Nothobranchius furzeri: one gene and its partners. The protein of the gene in region 3 interacts with the protein of the main gene of each other region in a pairwise test. Links are inferred from orthologs where the notes say so. Each region holds a gene or a part of one and is shown on either strand. Other genes may lie near its edges. The genes, in order: inha, upp2 and siah1.

Region 1 (2,923 bases), on a different chromosome or scaffold from region 3:
CTAATTGTTTTTTAAACTTACAATAAAAGACACAACGTTACAAATTATGAGTGTCAGAACTAATAATTATGGCTGTCAGATTAGATCATCCCTGTAGGCCACCCCCGATTGTAGGTACTCACATTGGCAGAGGAAACCAGATGGCGCTAAACACTACATGGTGTTTTTTAGGTCCAAATATCTTAACCATCTCAGGCTCAATAAGTTTTGATAAAAGGACGAACATTCAAGCCCTTCAGGGGTACTTCTGAGTTAAACAATGCTCATGAAATATGTATGTTGCGTAACCAGGTAGGTAGGTTTTAGCATTGCTAATCTGCAACGCCTGCCTCCAGAGGGTTAAACTGTTCGTGAATTCAAATGGTGTTTTTCTTTTTCGGACTCCGATAGTTTCTCCTAAAGTTGAAGTGGTAGCAGCTGGCTGTTTCTCCTTTATCACTGAGCGGAGAACCTCTCACACCAGTGGTGTTCTGCTGCTAAAAGCAGGAAAAGAGTGGAGGACTCAGGAAAAGGCGGATTTGTGGTCAAGAGGCATGAAAAAAAAGAATGGTGCTAGCTTGTTTGCAGATTAGCTTTTGCAGCTTTGAATATTTTTTGGGGAAAAAAATTTGTTTTTAAAATCACGAAGTCTGACCAGTTTATTTTATTCCAGAATCCAAAGACATTTTTAACTCGACATGTACAAAGAAATTTCAATCACATCTTTTGGTTTGGGTTAGGTAAAAGAAAATGAACAGTTCCACAACTCTCATCTGAGACGATTTAATACGAACGCTAAACTCCTAAAATATTAAACGAGTGAATTTCCCCATTTTCTGCTGAAGAAAAATCCATCACATCTGCAGGTCACCACGGGAAGTCTCTCAGTGGGAGGGATTTCGGGGAACCTTTGGGGTTCAGACACAGGTGCACTCCTTAGGCATGATGTTGGGCAGGGTCTCATACTTGAAGGAATACCCACCATCAGATGTTGTCGTGATCTTCAGGGACTTCATGGACCCTGGAACCGGCGCGCAGCACTGAGTCATCCCTAATCTAGCGGCGGCCCGATCCCAAGCCGAGCAGTTCCCATGACAATAGTAAAAGGTAAGCACCTTCGGTTGGACGATCCAGCTGTCCCAGCCCAGCTCCTCAAAGCTGATCTCGATTTCTTCTCTGCGGCAGTCGTCGTGCTGAGGTTCCTCCTGTGAGGGCCTCTGGAGGAGGTGTAGGGCTGTAGGAGACCAGGGGATGGTTACTGCTGCATCACGGGGAGAACGGGTACGACCCCTGGGCTTGACGTGGAGATGAAGAAAGGCCATCTGCTCTGGGTCACGATTCCACTGACAGGCCAGACACCGGACCTGAAGCAGAAATGGACCCTCAGCAATGGAGTTCATCAACGGCCCATCCAGACTGAAGGTGCTCCATCCATCAGAGCTCCTCAGTGTTGGAGTTTGTGCTGCCTGGTAGAGCTGCTGTGCTGAGAAGATGAAGAGTGAGGCAGACGAACCAGCTCCTCCCTCAAAGAAGCAGAAGTGAGCAGATGTGACCACAGCGGCCTGAAGGTTTTTAGAGGGCTGGAAGTAGAAGGTGAAGTAGCTTCTGGTGCTTTTATTCATGGCTGAGTCAACAAGGGCAAAAGATGAGTCTGCAGGAACGTAAGTAAAGAGAAGGTTCCTAAAGAAAAGTTGAAGGTAAATTACAAAACTTTATTTTACTCAAATGAAAAAAAAAAGCTTCTCACCAGATGGGAACAGAATCACCTGAGACGTGTCCCGGTCCCTGCTGGGTTCATGGTTCTCCCTCACTGCTCTGGTGGTCCGGAGGACCCTCCTGTGTCTCTGCTCCACGTTTGGTGGTGTTGTGTCCTCTCCAGGACCCCGTACCTTGGTAAGAGGTGGCTTCTCCAGACCCAAGTTCTCCAGAACCCGCTCTTTAAACCAGGACAAGATGACTCCCCTGGGCAGCTCCTCTGGCTTGTAGGCTTGGACCAAACTCTGGATCCAGAGCAGAACCAGGAGAGGCATACCACAGGACACCATGACTGCACTGATGTTGTTGCTCTCTGGGTCTGAGAAAAGTCTGCAAGCTGCAGCGTTTTGTTACTGTCTCACAAATGATGATAAAGGATGACCTTGGAACTTCTGATTTGCAGGTTTTTCACAGTCAGAAGCTCTCTGCATGATTTAAATAAAAAATGTCCACCCAGTAGAATATATTTTTGTCATTAAATACACAAATAATTCATGCATGTTGCTTTTATTTCTTCTAAATGATGATGAATGTATCTTCTGCGGGCTTAAAAGGCCTCCTGTCTGCCTCCTTATCTCACCAAGTTAAATCCCTCCTAGAAAACTATTGTCTCTCAGAAACATTTAGTTAAAAGGAACTTTTACAAACTTCATTTAAAACATTTGTGTTCTCTACTAAAAGTGCTCCTTTCTAGTTGAGGTGCTTTTGAGAACTCATTTTTGATTGAAGAAGAAATTTAAACATGTATTTTGAGAATTTCATTAATGTTTTCCATGACTCCAGTATCAAAAATTTTGTTTAGAAACAAAATATTGAGTAAGAAAACTGAAAGTTCTTGTTAGACGTTTTCGTTAAAGCCAGATTTCTTAGATTTTACTGTAAAAATACAAACTTTTTACAAGCATGGTGAGAATAGTATAAAAAAAGTTAAATTGATCATTTATTTGGTTAGAAAAATGAGTAAAGAAATGAGTATTTTTAAAGGAAAAAAACGAAATGTATTGGCTAAAAATCCCATTAAGTATAAAATGTGAAAATGTTGCAGAACAGCGACCCCTGTGTCCATGTTTTGTATCTGCAGTTTGTGTCTTGTCTGTTTTTAATGCAAAGTATGAAAAAGAAAGACTGACCATCGACATTAATATAGACTGACACATAAAAAACACTTATATGACTTTGAATCATTTTT
Region 2 (3,754 bases), on a different chromosome or scaffold from region 3:
CAGCCTTAGAGATAGGGTGAGGAGCTCGGACATTCGGGAGGGACTCGGAGTAGAACCGCTGCTCCTCCGGATCGAAAGGAGCCAGTTGAGGTGGTTTGGGCATCTGGTCAGGATGCCTCCTGGACGCCTCCCCGGGGAGGTGTTTCGGGCATGTCCTGCCGGCAGGAGGCCCCCGGGTCGACCCAGGACACGTTGGAGAGGTTACATCTCCAATCTGGTCCGGGAACGCCTTGGGGTCCTGCCGGAGGAGCTGGTGGACAAGGCCGGGGAGAGGACGGCCTGGAGCTCCCTAGTTGGGATGCTGCCCCCGCGACCCGGACCCGGATAAGCGGAGGAAGACGAGACGAGACGAGACGATGAAATGCTTTAGCTTGCTTTCCAGACTTAGTCATGTGTACTTTGAGAGAATACTTTTGTAATAAGTAGCCAGAGTTTGTCCAGGGATACAAAGTTGGGTCAGTCAACAATAAATCACGTTAAATGTTTAAACTGCATCATCTGCAGTCCCTCTGGCTACCCTAACAGACACTGAGATGATTGAAAACATTATAACATGTTGCTAATTTGATCATTTCATGAAAAAAGTGTTCAAATCTAATAAATTCTCTGCTTTTTTCAGAGTTTTTGACAAGAAACCAGCACCGGTGGACATGTCCAAGCTGCTCCGCTTCGGTTATGCAGAAGAAAACAAACCAGTACAGTGAGGTGTCAAGTAAGCAGCACAACAACCGACTTAGTCTTGTTTATCATCGTAAAAACACTTTATAATGCAGTCAGAATGCATTTGTAACACAATAAAAGCAAATGAAGGATTTTATGAGATGGTTTTATGAATAGCCCTTCTGAAAATACAGAGACACAAATAATAAAGTGGATTAAACCTTTAAGGGCTGAACCATTAGGATTTTATGAAGTATCCTGACAGTATTATGTAGTAATATTAGTGAATGATTAGTTATTTTTCATGCCAACAGGCTGGAGGACTGCCAGAGGCGCTTCTAAAGCTAGAAGAGTAGACGCCATCTTTTCTTCTTACAATCTGTGTCACGCTGAGCCACAACAAGCATTTAAATTGGTTTTCAAATGTTGAATTAAAAAAATTAGTTTTTTATTTATTTTTCTTGTTATTGGAACCTGATTATATACATCTCTTAAGTTTTGTGCTGTTTCTGTTAAAAAATATTTGACACGTGATTAAAATAAAGTTGAAAATATTCAAAATTTCTCTTTTTTTTTCATTTAAAATCTCATCTTAATCTTGACTTTTAGCTAGGTAGCCCTATTAGTCAGCTTGGTAACTCTGTGCATCTGTTTTGATATGTCAAGTTGTTTCATGTCAGGGTCAAAGGTTATCTCCGTGTTCTCTGAAATTATGTCACAGCATGTCAGGAGTTCGCTGGGATCAGATGGGCTGTCGTTAAAACGCTGCACTCTGAATCATCCCGCTGTTTTTATGTTCTCCTCGGTGCCGTCAGTGGGGAATTATTTTTTTTTTTTTTTTGCACGTTACTCGTGTTTTGTTTTATAAGCGAGTTTATGTTTGACTAGTGGGTGCTTTTACCAGAACAGCGATTGCCGCTACTCCTCTTTATAGAGCCAATCAGTGACGAGGTCAGAGGGGACCACTATATCAGCTGTGCAGCTGAAAGTCACTCCTGTTAGAAAGAAAGCTTTGCAACAAGTTCTTGAACGATCTTCAGCAACCTTTGAAGAAAACCGAAGTCATGGCCCCGATTCTGATTCTGAGCTGCATGGGGCACGATCACAACGAATACATCAAGTGAGTATATCCAGCGTTTTACTATGGTTTTACTTCTGATCGTGGAATAATACAAAAGAAAATACTTCTAGACAACAAGTCCAAGTGAAGAATCCCTATTTGGACACTATGGAGGAGGACATCTTGTACCACTTCAACTTGAGCACAAAGACTCACAACCTTCCAGAGATGTTTGGAGACACAAAGGTTTGTGAAAAGCGGGATTTAAGAACAAAATCAGAGCTAGTTTGATTACACAGATGTCACCTGCTCTGTTTTGTATCTTTCACAGTTTGTTTGTGTTGGAGGAAGCGGAAACCGAATGAAGTCTTTCGCCCAGTTCATGCACAAGGAGCTAAACTTGCCTGGAAACCCAGAGGACATCAGGGATATCTGTGAGGGAACTGATCGCTACTGCATGTACAAAGTGGGACCAGTACTCTCTATAAGTGTAAGCACTTAAAACATTATAATACACACATTTATTATGAATCAGCAGATTCCAGGATTAATTTCCATTTATTGTTTGTGACAGCACGGCATGGGAGTCCCCTCCATCTCCATCATGCTGCATGAGCTCATCAAATTGCTGCATCACGCTCAGTGTCATGATGTGGTTCTGTTTCGCCTGGGAACCTCTGGCGGTGTTGGTAAATTAGTGTTTTTATATTCAAAACTGACAGAAAGCTTCACTCGTGTTGTGATCAATGGGTGGTAAATATGAAATGTCCCTGGTGTTGCCTCCAGGTCTGGCTCCGGGGACAGTAGTGATCACTGATAAGGCAGTGGACTACTCCTTCCGCCCCCAGTTTGAACAAGTTGTTCTGGGTAAAGTCATTACCAGGAGCACGGAGCTGGATGAGGGCGTGGTCAGCGAGCTCCTGCAGTGCTCCCACGAGCTTCAAAACCTGCCAACTGTCATTGGAAACACCATGTGTACCCACGATTTCTATGAAGGTGCCAAACTCATAATAATCCACATTTTATTTTGAAAGAAACGTCTTAATTGAAGGAAAATGGATGCTGTAATCACAGTTTGCTATGAAAAACCCCAAAATGTTAATTCACTATGAGAAAAAATATCAAAGGAAATGATAAAATGTTGAAACAATTTAATTTCACTGCAGAACAGTTATGCCATATTATCTCTCTGCCTGGTAAGGTTATAGCAGACAGGTGGCCAATTCTGACAGAAAACAAACAGCACCAGCCATAACACTCCCCCCCCCCCCCCTTAAGAATAAAGTTATTAACTTTAACACAAATCCCCCACCCTAAATCACAAAACAGCCCCAAAATCAATACTATATGATTAACTGCAGGCCAATGGCATAGGTGCAAAGCAGGAGCTGGGAGGCGACAATCAACTCTGGATTCGATGTAGACAATACAGGTTCCAGAAGTCTCACATCCTTTACACAAACAAATCCACTGCTCACCCAAAGTTCAGTCTCATCACAACGATGATATCCAACAGCGACAGTGATCTTCACCAATGCTCCAGTCTTCCAGACAGGCTGCTCACAGTCACAGATGCAACCAGTCTAGGTGTCAAAGAGACAGTTCACAGTGAGGAAGAGTTTTTCAAAAGCTCTGACCTCTTCCTTTTTAGCGTGGCTAAGCCAGTATCCACCGCAGATGTAGCCACACCAGCAGGGATGACAGGAGGCGGGGCTACCAAGGGTGACACATCTAGGCTTCCAGATCCACAGCACCGTGAGAGCGACGCTCGGTCTTCTCCCCCTACAGAAAATTCGGTCCATTTGAGCCATCTTCAAATCCAGAGATGATGTGTCACCTCCCACATTCCACACCCACAACACACACCAATGAGCGCATGGGATGGAGCGTCTGAACTTTTCTGAAAAAAAAAAATCAATAAAATAAGAAAAACTCCAAAAATATCAAACACCCAGAGGAAGAGCACATGTCCAGGAAGAATTAGGGATCAAAAGAAATCCCGGACGGGCCCCTATTTGTTACGATCCAAGCTGT
Region 3 (3,754 bases):
TCTTTAGTGTTTGTTTTCGGCTGAGCTGATGGTGACATCATGGTGTCCTGCTGTAGCTTCAGCGCTGCTGCTGGGACATATCGGTTAGTTTAGTTTGGGGATTTTACACAACATTTAAAGTTCAATCTTAAGGTGGAGACTGGGGCACACTCCCGGAGGTTTGACTAACATTTGGAATGGGAATGATTTAACCTGCGGAGCAGGAACGCTGAGGGAGAAGAAGAGTGAAACTAGGAAAGGAAAAGCAGTGAGAAAGTGAGGTTTGGTGTCAGTGAGGGCAGCTGGTGGTGCAGCCTGCAGCGAGACGGGCTGAAATCTGAGCCGTGCACAACCACAGCACTGCACGGGGTGGGGGTGAAATATGCAGGCTTTATGCTGACATAACCATGTGAGAGGCACAGAGAGGGAAGGGAAAATCAGGCCCGTTAAATCACAGGTCTGATGGGAAAATAGGGAAGAGTGTGTTTGGACTGACATCTGATGGCTGCTGGGCTCTTTTACACAAACACGCGACACCTACGTCACTACAGGAGACGACACCCCATGAACACCGGTGGAGGGAGGGAGGGAGATTTCGGACTTTCCCTTCTTTTCCTCTTCAGACTCTGGAAACACTGGGCTCTGATTATTCCTGTCGTAACGCCGTGAAGGAATTGTTTTTTGCTGCTGGAACCATGTCTTGCTCTCATTTTGGTTGCAAACCAGCGTTTTGGAAAAGCGCTTTGTAGGAGAGTTTTTTTTTACACACTTCTGCAGTTTGGTGCCAAATAGTTCCTGAAAACCTGGCCCAAGGAGCCACGGAGGTGGAACGCACACATGGATTATTGTCCAGTGTTGGAGGAAGCGTGGTGGGATGAAGCTTTTTACTGAAACGGAAAACGACGCTGTGTCGGCGGTTCCACGTCCTTTTGTGTAATCGTCCTAGTCTTTGTTTTTTCGTTTGGCTCGTACCCGACAGACAGACTGCTGCAGTTCCCACCTAATAAAGGAATTATTCATGCTCGTAGCTTATTTTCCTCCCCATCCTGTTATTTTTAGTGGGTTTGGAGGACTTGTTTCCTGTTGCGTGGACCCAGCCTTCGTCTCTTTACTACAACATATCCGAGGGGCAGGAGGAAGAAACATGATCCGATGTTTGGGGCAGCAGCAGTGTGTGGTTTCTGTGGAAAAGGTCTGGGGAATGTGGCGGGGGGGCGCTGCATAAATGTCTTTGGTCCAAGTGAAATCAAAGCCAGCGAGCGTAGCTCTACCGTCTCCACCCTGGAACTCCCTGCTCCGACTCTTCTCGTGTGTCGCCACGAGGGATGTCCACACGCCTAAAGGTGAAGGAGCCCAACCCCCGAAGTGCTTCCGTTATCTGGAACTACGCGGTTCCTTTTCCCACTCATGGATCTAATGTGGTGTTGCAGCTGTGGTCAGAGGTGGGGGAGGGAGGAGCTCACCTTCTGCTCAGCTGTTCCGCTTTAAGACAGCTTTGTGTGTGTGTGTGTGTGTGTGTGTGTGTGTGTGTGTCAGTCAGTCATGATTATGTTGAAGCTCCGCTTGTTTTCATCTCTGCTCTAAATGATGATTTTATTCTGTAATAGAACATCCGGTTTTGTTATCAGGGCTTCAAACTATATGATTATTAATCTAGAATATAATCTACAGAACCATAGACGATCCTGCAGAACCGTCCTCCCCAGCAGTGACTCTCAGTAATCCTGGCCTATTTGATCCGGTTCTCATGCGGTTCTGGAAGAGTTCTGATCCAGTTTGCACAGATGCATTTTGGCACAGCTTCTCTGACTGGACCGCTGCAGCACCTTGGTTCTGTTGTAGGTCTGCTGTGTTTGGGGTCGTTGTCCAGTTTTATGAGCCGGTTAGGTCCAAACTTCAGATGAGGTTCTGGTGGACCACAGAACTGGCCCAAACCACCAGCCGTCCTCCACCAGCTGACATCAGCTGTTAGATTTTCTCTAGACGTGCTGCTGTGCATTATGGGTAAACGTCCTCCCTTCAGTCTCCTCAGTCTGAAGGACTTGATGCCCAACGTCTCTGCAGTCTTGATTCTCGTGTGGATTAAACTGAAGTAGCAAAGTTAATTTCCTGTTATTTATGAAGAATTGGTGCGACTTTAGGTGTGATTGGAATCAGACCTGATGGTGTAACAATGATGCAACAATCCCCCCCCCCCCCCATCACATGTTGGTGTAGAAAATGGGGAAAGTTCCAGTGTGAACACACCTTTACCTGTCTGTGTTTTTGGGTCAGGTTTGTTGTTGAATCCTGACATGACATGATCATAAAATCCCGGAGACAATCGCTGAGTTAAGAAAGCAAAAGGATGGACAGACGAGTAGACGTCAAACTCAGTGGTTATTCTTTTGTCCTTTTTAAGAGGATGAACTGTTCGGAACTGAACTCAAAGGAGAATCAGAATGAAAAAATCTGATTCCAATTTTAATTGTCCCACAGAAATTTTTTGTGCCATTGACTCCCATTCAAACATAAAAAAAAGCTAAATATCACCATACATTTTTTAAAATTTCACTCCAACTGTGTTCCTGCAGCCACCAGGGACTGAAGTTATTTTTACTTTTTTCCTCTAAATGGCATGGCACTGATTTATAACACACTCTAGTAATGTATGTTTTGGAGATTGTGTGGCCAAAAATATTTTTATGCTCATTTGTGACTAGAGCCCTCACAATTCACCCCCAAAAAGTCCTCTGGACATGACACACAAATGATTTAGCATTTTATATTTTTATAATGGTTTTTTTTTTTTTTTTTGACAAAACATGGCACTAAAGGGGTTAAATCTCAAAAACACCCCCCCCCCCCACCCATTTTCTGAACCTGCTTTGTCCACGCAGGGGGGTGGGGGTGTTGGTGCCTATCTCCAGCGGTCAACGGGCACAGGGTACACCCTGGACAGAGAGCCAGTCCATCGCAGATCTCAAAAACACTCAGATATTTTACTTTGTTTGGTGAGGACTGAAGCTAAGGAAAGAATCTGTGTTAAAGATTTTTGACTTTTGAAATGTTATATAATTTTTTATTAAACATTTTGCCAAAATGCATTTTTTTTTGTGCGAGGGTACCAAGTGTAGCTTTTTTTTAAAAGGAAACTCCAAAGGTTAAAAATTAAAGAGATAAATGAAGCGTTGGGTTTGTTAAATATGAATGAAATGTGCTGGCGTCACCAGACAGCCCATTATGGACGTGTCCCTGTAATGGACGCTCCATTAGCAGCAGGTGAGTGGCTGAGAGGTTCTGAGTCTTCTGCTGTCCTCCAGCTGCTGAGCTGATTCCACACACGGGCCTTAAAGTGTCCTTGTCCAAACACTGACTTTAGTTTTAACCACATTCTTTATTTCTACATTTTATTGTCCGATTAAAAGCAGCTCCTCTTGTTTTTGCTGCAAGGATGAAACCTGAATCTGGACTCGATCAGCGCTTGAACTGAAGGGAGCAGATAGTTGAGTTTGTTTTACATTTGTGTGTTTTTGTCTTTTCAGAGGTCCCTTCATTTCAAGATCAGACGAAAGCCTTATTTGGAAATCTTATGGACGAAGGTGAGTAGCAGAGCCTCCGGGAGGTGACCCCCTCTTCTCATAACTAGTTATTGTGAATTTATCTGAGCTGCAGGTTCTCGTGCTTATAACTGATGGCTGCTGATTCATGTGAGGGAAGCTAGATTTTCTGTTTTTAAAACCCAAAATAGTTCTGATCATCAGTAAGTTACCAGTATTGATGTAATCCGTCTCAT

The links.
Region 1: the proteins of siah1 (region 3) and inha interact in binary tests that used the Homo sapiens proteins (3 or more experiments, as listed by UniProt). The two-hybrid records come from large-scale screens. The link is inferred for Nothobranchius furzeri from reciprocal best matches to the Homo sapiens genes SIAH1 and INHA.
Region 2: the proteins of siah1 (region 3) and upp2 interact in binary tests that used the Homo sapiens proteins (3 or more experiments, as listed by UniProt). The two-hybrid records come from large-scale screens. The link is inferred for Nothobranchius furzeri from reciprocal best matches to the Homo sapiens genes SIAH1 and UPP2.

Annotation. Positions count from the first base shown.
Region 1 is NC_091742.1:62,956,514-62,959,436, forward strand, and holds inha (inhibin alpha chain), read right to left. Parts: upstream 2,129-2,923; 5' UTR 2,025-2,128; coding exon 1,727-2,024; intron 1,631-1,726; coding exon 897-1,630; 3' UTR 629-896; downstream 1-628. UniProt on the Homo sapiens protein: Inhibins and activins inhibit and activate, respectively, the secretion of follitropin by the pituitary gland.
Region 2 is NC_091754.1:18,953,136-18,956,889, forward strand, and holds the start of upp2 (uridine phosphorylase 2), read left to right. Parts: upstream 1-1,605; 5' UTR 1,606-1,724; coding exon 1,725-1,780; intron 1,781-1,851; coding exon 1,852-1,966; intron 1,967-2,051; coding exon 2,052-2,210; intron 2,211-2,294; coding exon 2,295-2,409; intron 2,410-2,506; coding exon 2,507-2,716; intron 2,717-3,754. Other genes in the region: uncharacterized protein C7orf57 homolog, read left to right, coding at 620-704. UniProt on the Homo sapiens protein: Catalyzes the reversible phosphorylytic cleavage of uridine to uracil and ribose-1-phosphate which can then be utilized as carbon and energy sources or in the rescue of pyrimidine bases for nucleotide synthesis.
Region 3 is NC_091744.1:81,654,403-81,658,156, forward strand, and holds the start of siah1 (E3 ubiquitin-protein ligase Siah1), read left to right. Parts: upstream 1-974; 5' UTR 975-1,204; coding exon 1,205-1,322; intron 1,323-3,503; coding exon 3,504-3,560; intron 3,561-3,754. UniProt on the Homo sapiens protein: E3 ubiquitin-protein ligase that mediates ubiquitination and subsequent proteasomal degradation of target proteins.